Linked DNA regions of Saccharomyces cerevisiae S288C. The protein of the gene in region 2 interacts with the protein of the main gene of each other region in a biochemical or structural test. Each region holds a gene or a part of one and is shown on either strand. Other genes may lie near its edges.

Evidence for each region. The genes of interacting proteins can lie anywhere in the genome.
Region 1: of the proteins of TPK1 (region 2) and CDC19, one has a biochemical effect on the other in vitro, tested with the Saccharomyces cerevisiae proteins (4 studies listed by BioGRID, with this or other methods).
Region 3: of the proteins of TPK1 (region 2) and NTH1, one has a biochemical effect on the other in vitro, tested with the Saccharomyces cerevisiae proteins (6 studies listed by BioGRID, with this or other methods).

The regions. Positions count from the first base shown.
Region 1 is NC_001133.9:70,001-73,788, forward strand, and holds CDC19 (pyruvate kinase CDC19), read left to right. Parts: upstream 1-1,785; coding exon 1,786-3,288; downstream 3,289-3,788. Other genes in the region: YAL037C-A (uncharacterized protein), read right to left, coding at 3,426-3,518.
Region 2 is NC_001142.9:109,466-112,932, forward strand, and holds TPK1 (cAMP-dependent protein kinase catalytic subunit TPK1), read right to left. Parts: upstream 1,695-3,467; coding exon 501-1,694; downstream 1-500. Other genes in the region: YJL163C (uncharacterized protein), read right to left, coding at 2,201-3,467.
Region 3 is NC_001136.10:449,720-454,085, forward strand, and holds NTH1 (alpha,alpha-trehalase NTH1), read right to left. Parts: upstream 2,757-4,366; coding exon 501-2,756; downstream 1-500. Other genes in the region: Ran GTPase-binding protein YRB1, read left to right, coding at 3,326-3,931. UniProt on the Saccharomyces cerevisiae protein: Hydrolyzes intracellular trehalose to glucose. The disaccharide trehalose serves as a storage carbohydrate that is mobilized during nutrient stress. Regulates the level of trehalose as a protectant for cell integrity during heat stress.

The DNA.
Region 1 (3,788 bases), on a different chromosome or scaffold from region 2:
TGTTTTAGGCACTTAGTATTAGATATTCCTAAGCCTCCCTCACCATAAATTACCTTTATTACTTGCATGACTATTATTAGCAGAGCATGTAGTATGGGACTCAAGACCGATATGATACACACCAAAGACGTAGGCACCGGCGATTAAATCAAAGGCTCCGATAGCCGAAAAGTGAGAAGAAAAAAAAAGGAAAAAAAGGAATTGTCCTAATGAGCGGTGTGGCCGACTTGCCATAATATCAGTTAGGGCTACTATCAATGTTTTATCTACGTTGGAGTAAGATCGTTTATCACTTCCATATTTGGACCAAATGAAAAGTTCAATCGGCCAAGTATTTCATGGATGGAATGACGTTTGGTAAGGAAGTGCTTTTTCTTTTTCCACATATTTTCCCTTTCTCTCGGGGAAATTTTGTTTCTAAACATAAAAAATAAAGCAACAGCAAAAAAGAGGGTCTGTCCAGCGAATAAGAAGAAAACCTCCTTTTCGGCTTTTGAAGATAGGTTGCAGTTGTCTGCGGGCACAAAATGGGCAATTTTTTTAATACTTTTTACGTATGAGACAAGATTTTTTTCGCCAATTATATCGCATGAAGAATAACCAGAGTTTTTCTCCGAACGTTAAGGGAGTTGAAGTAAAAATAAAGAAAGGACCAAATGAGAATGGGTATGCTTGGTCTTAGTCTTCGAATCAAATTCTGCTTCCCTGTTCATGGCAACGTCACCTCAATTATTTGGAAAGGGGGGGTTTTCCGACTTTATTTGAGATGACTTGAGATGTGTGTCAATGCTAGTATTTTGGAGATTAATCTCAGTACAAAACAATATTAAAAAGAGGTGAATTATTTTTCCCCCCTTATTTTTTTTTTGTTAGAATTGATCCAAATGTAAATAAACAATCACAAGGAAAAAAAAAAAAAAAAAAAAAATAGCCGCCATGACCCCGGATCGTCGGTTGTGATACGGTCAGGGTAGCGCCCTGGTCAAACTTCAGAACTAAAAAAATAATAAGGAAGAAAAAAATAGCTAATTTTTCCGGCAGAAAGATTTTCGCTACCCGAAAGTTTTTCCGGCAAGCTAAATGGAAAAAGGAAAGATTATTGAAAGAGAAAGAAAGAAAAAAAAAAAATGTACACCCAGACATCGGGCTTCCACAATTTCGGCTCTATTGTTTTCCATCTCTCGCAACGGCGGGATTCCTCTATGGCGTGTGATGTCTGTATCTGTTACTTAATCCAGAAACTGGCACTTGACCCAACTCTGCCACGTGGGTCGTTTTGCCATCGACAGATTGGGAGATTTTCATAGTAGAATTCAGCATGATAGCTACGTAAATGTGTTCCGCACCGTCACAAAGTGTTTTCTACTGTTCTTTCTTCTTTCGTTCATTCAGTTGAGTTGAGTGAGTGCTTTGTTCAATGGATCTTAGCTAAAATGCATATTTTTTCTCTTGGTAAATGAATGCTTGTGATGTCTTCCAAGTGATTTCCTTTCCTTCCCATATGATGCTAGGTACCTTTAGTGTCTTCCTAAAAAAAAAAAAAGGCTCGCCATCAAAACGATATTCGTTGGCTTTTTTTTCTGAATTATAAATACTCTTTGGTAACTTTTCATTTCCAAGAACCTCTTTTTTCCAGTTATATCATGGTCCCCTTTCAAAGTTATTCTCTACTCTTTTTCATATTCATTCTTTTTCATCCTTTGGTTTTTTATTCTTAACTTGTTTATTATTCTCTCTTGTTTCTATTTACAAGACACCAATCAAAACAAATAAAACATCATCACAATGTCTAGATTAGAAAGATTGACCTCATTAAACGTTGTTGCTGGTTCTGACTTGAGAAGAACCTCCATCATTGGTACCATCGGTCCAAAGACCAACAACCCAGAAACCTTGGTTGCTTTGAGAAAGGCTGGTTTGAACATTGTCCGTATGAACTTCTCTCACGGTTCTTACGAATACCACAAGTCTGTCATTGACAACGCCAGAAAGTCCGAAGAATTGTACCCAGGTAGACCATTGGCCATTGCTTTGGACACCAAGGGTCCAGAAATCAGAACTGGTACCACCACCAACGATGTTGACTACCCAATCCCACCAAACCACGAAATGATCTTCACCACCGATGACAAGTACGCTAAGGCTTGTGACGACAAGATCATGTACGTTGACTACAAGAACATCACCAAGGTCATCTCCGCTGGTAGAATCATCTACGTTGATGATGGTGTTTTGTCTTTCCAAGTTTTGGAAGTCGTTGACGACAAGACTTTGAAGGTCAAGGCTTTGAACGCCGGTAAGATCTGTTCCCACAAGGGTGTCAACTTACCAGGTACCGATGTCGATTTGCCAGCTTTGTCTGAAAAGGACAAGGAAGATTTGAGATTCGGTGTCAAGAACGGTGTCCACATGGTCTTCGCTTCTTTCATCAGAACCGCCAACGATGTTTTGACCATCAGAGAAGTCTTGGGTGAACAAGGTAAGGACGTCAAGATCATTGTCAAGATTGAAAACCAACAAGGTGTTAACAACTTCGACGAAATCTTGAAGGTCACTGACGGTGTTATGGTTGCCAGAGGTGACTTGGGTATTGAAATCCCAGCCCCAGAAGTCTTGGCTGTCCAAAAGAAATTGATTGCTAAGTCTAACTTGGCTGGTAAGCCAGTTATCTGTGCTACCCAAATGTTGGAATCCATGACTTACAACCCAAGACCAACCAGAGCTGAAGTTTCCGATGTCGGTAACGCTATCTTGGATGGTGCTGACTGTGTTATGTTGTCTGGTGAAACCGCCAAGGGTAACTACCCAATCAACGCCGTTACCACTATGGCTGAAACCGCTGTCATTGCTGAACAAGCTATCGCTTACTTGCCAAACTACGATGACATGAGAAACTGTACTCCAAAGCCAACCTCCACCACCGAAACCGTCGCTGCCTCCGCTGTCGCTGCTGTTTTCGAACAAAAGGCCAAGGCTATCATTGTCTTGTCCACTTCCGGTACCACCCCAAGATTGGTTTCCAAGTACAGACCAAACTGTCCAATCATCTTGGTTACCAGATGCCCAAGAGCTGCTAGATTCTCTCACTTGTACAGAGGTGTCTTCCCATTCGTTTTCGAAAAGGAACCTGTCTCTGACTGGACTGATGATGTTGAAGCCCGTATCAACTTCGGTATTGAAAAGGCTAAGGAATTCGGTATCTTGAAGAAGGGTGACACTTACGTTTCCATCCAAGGTTTCAAGGCCGGTGCTGGTCACTCCAACACTTTGCAAGTCTCTACCGTTTAAAAAAAGAATCATGATTGAATGAAGATATTATTTTTTTGAATTATATTTTTTAAATTTTATATAAAGACATGGTTTTTCTTTTCAACTCAAATAAAGATTTATAAGTTACTTAAATAACATACATTTTATAAGGTATTCTATAAAAAGAGTATTATGTTATTGTTAACCTTTTTGTCTCCAATTGTCGTCATAACGATGAGGTGTTGCATTTTTGGAAACGAGATTGACATAGAGTCAAAATTTGCTAAATTTGATCCCTCCCATCGCAAGATAATCTTCCCTCAAGGTTATCATGATTATCAGGATGGCGAAAGGATACGCTAAAAATTCAATAAAAAATTCAATATAATTTTCGTTTCCCAAGAACTAACTTGGAAGGTTATACATGGGTACATAAATGCAGATGCCAGTGAACTATGTTCAGCTTCTGGCCTTCGTTTGGTGGTTTAATCTATTTTTTATAAAAAATGACGCGGGCAGATTCAATTAGTGTCCTAAAT
Region 2 (3,467 bases):
TTTATTTTTTCAAAATTTTTTTTTTATTTAGCAAGTTTCTCTATCTCCTTTGTATTCTAAAAGTAAATGGATGGAAAGAATGGATCTTTTCGTAGACTATAATGCTTCCTAAAATATACACGTATAGAATGGAGATTCCGACTTGTTTGGAGCCACCAATTGCCCTTTATTTGGTTTATACCAAGGGGCTCACGTAAAAAAAAAATCGATATGCAAAATCCTTCATTTCATGATGCAAGCTTTCGAAAGTGGCGCGGCGAGCAAAGTAGAAAATCAAAGACAGAAGCGTAGAATAAAAGCCCTTTTAATGGTAGGAATACGCCTCGATAACATCATGTATGCAATCTACAAGAACAGTGAACGCCGTTCCATCTCCGTAGTAACTATACAGGGGTTGAAATTTCGTTTTCGAAGGATAGTTGTTATGTAGAAAAGAGGGAAAAAAATATGAAAAAAAAAAAATATAGATACGAGAGGAAAATACAACAAAACATTAGTCATTAGAAGTCCCGGAAAAGATCAGCATATGGGTCTTCACCTTGAACACCGTAGTTGATGTCTTCTTCCGGGTACTTATCGAACTGTGAGGTGTCACCTTGTCCCTGTTGAATGGGCGGTTCATACGGCGTTTCTATGTTTCTAGATAATAATTTTTCCCAGACAACTTCTTTGAACCAGGGGTGGTTTTTGACATCTTCTGTACCATTTTGTAAATTACCTAGTCTTTGACTTAAGTCTCTTGTGATCAATCTACTCAACAGGTCCTTTACATCTTCGTTGAAAAATGGTGGAAATCTCAATTCGGCATTCAAGATTTTCTCATAGGTTTTCATCGTGTTAGAGTCGTAAAATGGCGTGTATCCTGCTAGCATTTCGTAAATCAGAATACCGAAACTCCACCAATCGATAGATTTATTATATGGTTTAGTACTAACGACCTCGGGTGCTATGTAGTCGGGAGTACCGCATAATGTATATGTGACGTCAGGAACGTATTTGGCAAACCCGAAATCTGTTATCTTTATATGCCCGTTTTTATCAAGCAAGATATTTTCCGGTTTCAAATCCCTATAAATAATGTCCTTGCTATGCAAGTACTCCAAAGCTAAACAAACTTCCGCTGCGTAAAATTTAGCAACTGGGTTGGGAAATCTTTGGGATTTCCTTAACAAAGAAAACAATTCTCCACCTTCAATATAATCCATAATCATGAAAATTTGCTGAGCATCTTGGAAAGTCCCCCACATTCTAATAATAAACGGATGTGTTACGATAGAAAGCATCAATCGCTCGTCGTTGGTATGCTCCACCTGTTTCAATCTTACCACGATTTCCTTTTTCAAAACTTTCATGGCGTAGTATCTGCCATTATGTCTTGATCTAATCAAATGGACCCTACCAAAAGAACCCGTACCCAGTGTCCTTAATATCTGAAAGTCTTGTAAACTATACTTCCCACTTGTAACTCTCGCTTGGGCAATAAACTGTTTATACTGCTCCTCATTGTAATAAGTGACATGTGGCTGCTTCGGTTTTTCTTGGGTTTCTCCACCCTCTTTTTCTACAGACTTACTTTCGTTACCGCTCTCTGTGGCTGTTGTTTCCCTTTCACTAGTCTCACCTTTTTGTGATTCCTCACCTTGTCTATCATCTAGAGACTTTTGACCACCTCCATTTTGTTCTTCAGTCGACATACCCAAAAAAAAGATTCTTTCACACAATCAGCTATAATTCATGCACTGCTTAAGCTAAGAGAACACTACTTTCTGTGCTACCTTTGAAGCCGATTGAAAATGCAAGCAAGCCAAACAAAAAAAAAAGTATAGGGTCAGATTCCTTAGCTTTATCAAATTAAAACTCTTAGATGGATACAATCGCAGCTTCTATGATGTTTCGCACCTAAAAATTCTCACGTTTTTCTGGCCAGAGATAGTAGATGAATATTTTTCAAGTTTTCAAGTAAAGGGATACGATATCCCCCTTGATTATTATGTCAAACTTTTACCAGATCCCGCCTTCCCTCCCCCCTAATAGCGCGAAAAAAAAGATCATCATGATTACGTAGAAAAAACCACAACAACACTATGTTGAATCATGTCATAAGCAAAGTCGTTAGGACACTGGCTTTGCAAGAACGAATAGCAGCACAGCTTCGAACAAGTAACTAAAAATATGTGGTGTATACGGTATGTAAATGTTTTTAAGGCCCGTCCAGCGGAGGGTTCTTGTAAATTCTTAGGAAGAATGTCAACAAGATGGCAACAATACTTGTTGAGAACGGTATATACATAAACAGACTAGGATTAACGGAGACAGTACTTCCATATAGCTTAAGGAGGATGGGAGGGATGACAAGCATAACACAGGACCTTACCAAAGCCATTGCTCCGAACATCTCGCCTGTATGTTTCTTAGAGGTGTACTTTATGATACCAGACTGCAAAGTTGGTGAACAAAACGCGCTCAATGCCTGTAAAAGAGCGAATATTATCATGGATGTGGGAGTTTTCTCGCCAAATCGTATCATGACAAAGAGACTCAGTGTTATAACAATCATAGAAAACTGTATGCAAAAGATGTCTATCTTGTCTATCGAATGGTTCAAGTGTTGATAAATCCTCTTTAGCGTGTACAGTAATGTAGGTGATACGACCAGTAACACAACACCTCTTCCGATACCCAGTATCGATATGAAATAACCTAGCTCTACTGCATGCCATTTGTACTCATATGTAGAAAACAAAATCAATGCTGGCATACACGATGTCGTTCCACAGACAAATAGTATATCGAGTACAATGAGTAATATTACGGTATGCCGGGGTACTAAAGACCCTGCACTGTCGGGCTTCAGCCATAACTTTTTTACTGGAGCGAGCAGGTCCATTAACCTCATTATTTGAAATTTTCCATAAGTAACGGATTGGTAATTTCTTGCATCGTCAGAACCCGATTGTGATCTTAGTTTCTCTCTCCTCTTTGTATAAGTTGATTGTGAATGGGCCATTTGGGTTTCATGGCGCGGTTCCACCATGATTGTCTCACATATTATAAGCGCCAGTATAACAAACGCTATTGATGTGTAAATAGGAATGAACCCGTTTCCATGAGTCCACTTCACCAGAAAGGACCCAAACATTGGGCCTACGCCCATAGTGGCATATATACAACTCATCATTATTCCTATTGTCACCATTCTGTGCTCAGTTTTCACTATATCTGAAACGTAACTATTTCCATTCGCCACTAGCGCAAACAAGCCACCGAATGATGGTACGATACACGCAGTAAGAACAATAGCCCATTTGTGATACTTCATTTTCGATGATAGGGTAAAGACGTGCGTAAGAAGCCCTATGACCCTGATGCCGCTCATGTATTTGAAAACACGCACTCTTCCTATTCTATCGGATAATTCTCCCCACTTACCAGCCATGAAAATACTGATTGCCCCTGCTATCATCATA
Region 3 (4,366 bases), on a different chromosome or scaffold from region 2:
TTATAATCAACTTTTTTAAAAATTTAAAATACTTTTTTATTTTTTATTTTTAAACATAAATGAAATAATTTATTTATTGTTTATGATTACCGAAACATAAAACCTGCTCAAGAAAAAGAAACTGTTTTGTCCTTGGAAAAAAAGCACTACCTAGGAGCGGCCAAAATGCCGAGGCTTTCATAGCTTAAACTCTTTACAGAAAATAGGCATTATAGATCAGTTCGAGTTTTCTTATTCTTCCTTCCGGTTTTATCGTCACAGTTTTACAGTAAATAAGTATCACCTCTTAGAGTTAACCTATACTAAAATTTATGCCAGTTAACTATGAGATAAGCAAGTATCATCTCATTTCATTACCTGAAGTCGAGTAAACAGAAAATCCAATTGTTGATGAACCTCAATGACTTAGAACTATCTATCGGCAGATCATATAAAGAGGATTTAGGTACCTAGAGGACTGTACCTGGAGTATATATATATATATATATATATTATCTCAACTATAGTCCATAGAGGTTTCTTTCTTGAGGCCTTAAACTGCTAAAGAATGATATTGGTGGAATGCAAGCACCAAGCGCTCTTCTTGCGTGACTGTTCATATACTTCAAACCAAGAATGTAACTGGCATTGACCCATCCAAAACCTTCAGTAGCTGCCCCTTTAAAGTCAGCACCTTGATTACCGTATTCTGCTTCAACACGATGAGGATCTGTTCCTCTTGTGACATCATATTTTTCAACCACAATACCATTATAATCGACAAAAGCCTTTGTCATCATGAAAAGCCATCTATAAGCTAGCCTATTCGTTACAGTTAAATAACCATAAGAACGGAGGCCTTCCCAAGCAAGAATTTGATGGGGTGCCCAACCAAATGGATAGTCCCATTGTCTAATTGGTCTCGAAATAGAAATTGGGCCTCGAGAACGCTCCGTACATGCAGCTAAACCTCCAAGCATCTCTAACTTGGGTAGTGCTTTCTCCACCATTTTCTGTGCTTGCTCCTTCGTGGCAAGTCCAGCCCATAATGCCCAGAATGTAGTTGCGGATTCGTATGACGTTCTGTGCTTGATTTTTGTGTTGTAGTCAAAGAAAAACCCCGACTCGTCATCCCACATATATTTGGTAATCTTTTCTTGTCTGATTTTGGCCATTTCTTTCCACATAGCTGAAGTTGTTATAGAATGGTCTAAAGGATCTTCATATTTGTCGTCGCAGAATTCCTTTATGAAGTCTGCAATATCAATCTCGTATTTGTAAAGAAGAGAATTCAGGTCAATAGTGGCCAGGTAGGCACATACGCCCTCAAACCTATATGTAGTGTCGTGTCCAGATTCTCTAACGCCACGGTCATGAAGAAAAAACTCATCCAATTTAGGCTCCTTTATCTTACCATCGTTATAAAGTTGCTTAAATTCGTCTAAGGTAACGCCGTGTTTCGATGCATATGGTAGTAAAACGGTATCGAAGTGATCACTTTCAGTTTCCGGAGGAATACCGAGACCGTTAGGATGGTACCTGGATAAGCCTGTTTCGGGATCAAGCCTTGGAGATGCGGTCCAAACAGTTTTGTACTCTTTTATGCTTGCTTGGAAAGCTCTTTTCAACAAATCCACAGCATCGGGATTACTCCTACCACCAAGTTTTTTGAATACTACCAAGGCCATTTCAGTCAAGAATGGGGGCTGTGATCTACATAGATAGTAGCTTCTGTTAGCATTCAATATTTTTCCATAGTGATTAATCTCAAAAATAAAATGCTCCACCATACCTCTTGCAACATCAGTCTTGTTGGCTTCTAGGAGACCTAGTGCCATCATATAGGAGTCCCAACCATATAATTCATTGAATCTACCACCAGGAACAGCATAAGGGTAACCAATGAGAGTTTTTTCACCAGTAGAAGGATTGAAGTGCTCTTCCATAGCCAATGCTAGTAAACCGGGGGTATCATTGACGGATTTGACGTATTCTGCCGTTATTTTTTTTGGTAAATATTCAACTTCTAATTTCAAAGATGGATGCATTTGAGAAGCTTGAACATAAAATTCGTATTGTTCTGGACAATCATAAGGAACATAGATTCTTGGATTTTTTGCCCCCGGCGTATCAATCTTGGTATCTTTTGCAATTTCGCCTACGTTGTTCAGATCAACTCTCCTGGTCAAAGAGTTCCAGAACTGTGTGTTTATCAATCTTGATAATCTGTTGACGGGATTTTCGTTTATACGAGCTTCATCTAAGAAAATTTGGTGTCTACCAAAACTTTTCGCAATAGTTAGTTCCTGCAACAAATTGGATAACATATACGTACCCCTAATATTAATATGCTTATAGCCATAGGAGTTTGCGGTACCGACTTTCAAAACTTTTGGACCGGTATCCTCGATGGTGATCTGATAATTTTTATCGGTATCCTCAGCAGCCAGTAGTTCATTAAGTGTTTTATCGACATCTTCGATAAAGAAACGACGATTACCTTGACTACTTGAATAGGTGTCATCCTCAGAACCACGTCTAGTCTGTTGAAGTTTACCAAAACCAGTTTTCTTGAAAGGAGATACATTATCGAAAACACTCATAGTCCTCGTACGGTTGATCTTAGCGGGCTTTGCCTGCTTCTGCTTTCTTGGGTCTGTTGGGGGGCCATAGTAGACTTCTGCGTTCGAAAATGGATCATTGAATTCACTTAGTGATGATAATCTTCTTTGACGGCCTTGGGCTACCGGTCCTTGGCTTGTATTAACTTGACTCATTCTACTGATTTTTTTTGTTAATTTTTCTTTTTTTGTTTATCAGGCGTTCTTGTATCTAGTAATCTCCTTATATCTATGCAGTTGGTTGTGAAATCAGTCAATATAAAACTATCTTCTTGATATTATATTTACTCTACGGAAAACGATAGGGGGAAAATTTCTAGCTAATGTTTTGCGATCTTTTCAGGCCAACAAATCTTGTACCTCGCTCCTGAAAAATCCCGTAAATCGGTGATCGCGCAAGTTTCATATTGATAACCTTGTGAACCAGTCTATATATAGCCTTATATAAGTACTGCTCTATCAAACTTAAGATTGGTGGCCTTCTTCGGTAACTAGGGGATAAGGGGCTTCGTCCTACACGATGCTCCTGTCGTTTCTTTTTTTCATTTCTTTTTTCGCCCAGCGGGAAGTACGCGGAAAACAAGAAACAAAAAAAAAATAAAAAAATAAAAAATAAAACAGAAACTAAAATCTGATGATGAAATTGATATTCAATTGGAGAAAGAAGAAAGATCTTGTTTAATTTGAAATAAAAGCAAGAAGATAAACACAACTATAGAAAAAGAATGTCTAGCGAAGATAAGAAACCTGTCGTCGACAAGAAGGAAGAGGCTGCTCCAAAGCCACCATCCTCTGCTGTCTTCTCCATGTTTGGTGGTAAGAAGGCCGAAAAGCCAGAAACCAAGAAAGACGAAGAAGATACCAAGGAGGAAACCAAGAAGGAAGGTGATGATGCTCCAGAATCACCAGATATCCATTTTGAACCAGTGGTTCACCTGGAAAAGGTAGATGTTAAGACAATGGAAGAAGACGAAGAAGTTCTTTACAAGGTCAGAGCCAAGCTTTTCAGATTCGATGCCGATGCCAAGGAATGGAAAGAAAGAGGTACTGGTGACTGTAAGTTCTTGAAGAACAAAAAGACTAACAAGGTTAGAATATTGATGAGAAGAGACAAGACCTTAAAGATTTGTGCTAACCACATCATTGCTCCAGAATACACTTTGAAGCCTAACGTTGGTTCTGATAGATCTTGGGTGTATGCTTGTACAGCAGATATTGCAGAAGGTGAAGCAGAAGCCTTCACTTTTGCTATCAGATTTGGCAGTAAGGAAAATGCTGATAAATTTAAAGAAGAATTTGAAAAAGCTCAAGAAATCAACAAAAAGGCTTAGTTTCGATGTGCTTGTTACTTGCGTCTAGATTTTTTTGTTCCTAATGTAATTTTCCTTTACAGCGTGCATATATATTTTTATCTACTGTGAGGAAAAGTTGCTCTTTAATTATATAAAAAACGCTTATGTAGCATTGTGAAATCACATATGAATAGATATGTAAGAAGGATTAGAGGGTTCAAGTAATTGTTGCAGTAGTCAATGTAGCCAAATGTCTAACCACTTTGGTGCATGGAGATTAGCTCAATAATCTCGTAGTATGTTTCCGGGTAATATTCTCTGTCTTATTTACCATCTTTATGTTTCCGCCCTTTTATTTTTGTTTTTCTCGCTACTCCTTTATAATTACTAATGAGAATCGAATACTATAGAAATTTTTGACGTAATAAAGGAGCAGTAAATTTGGAATACATTCCTTAGCTCGCTAGAAAGCTG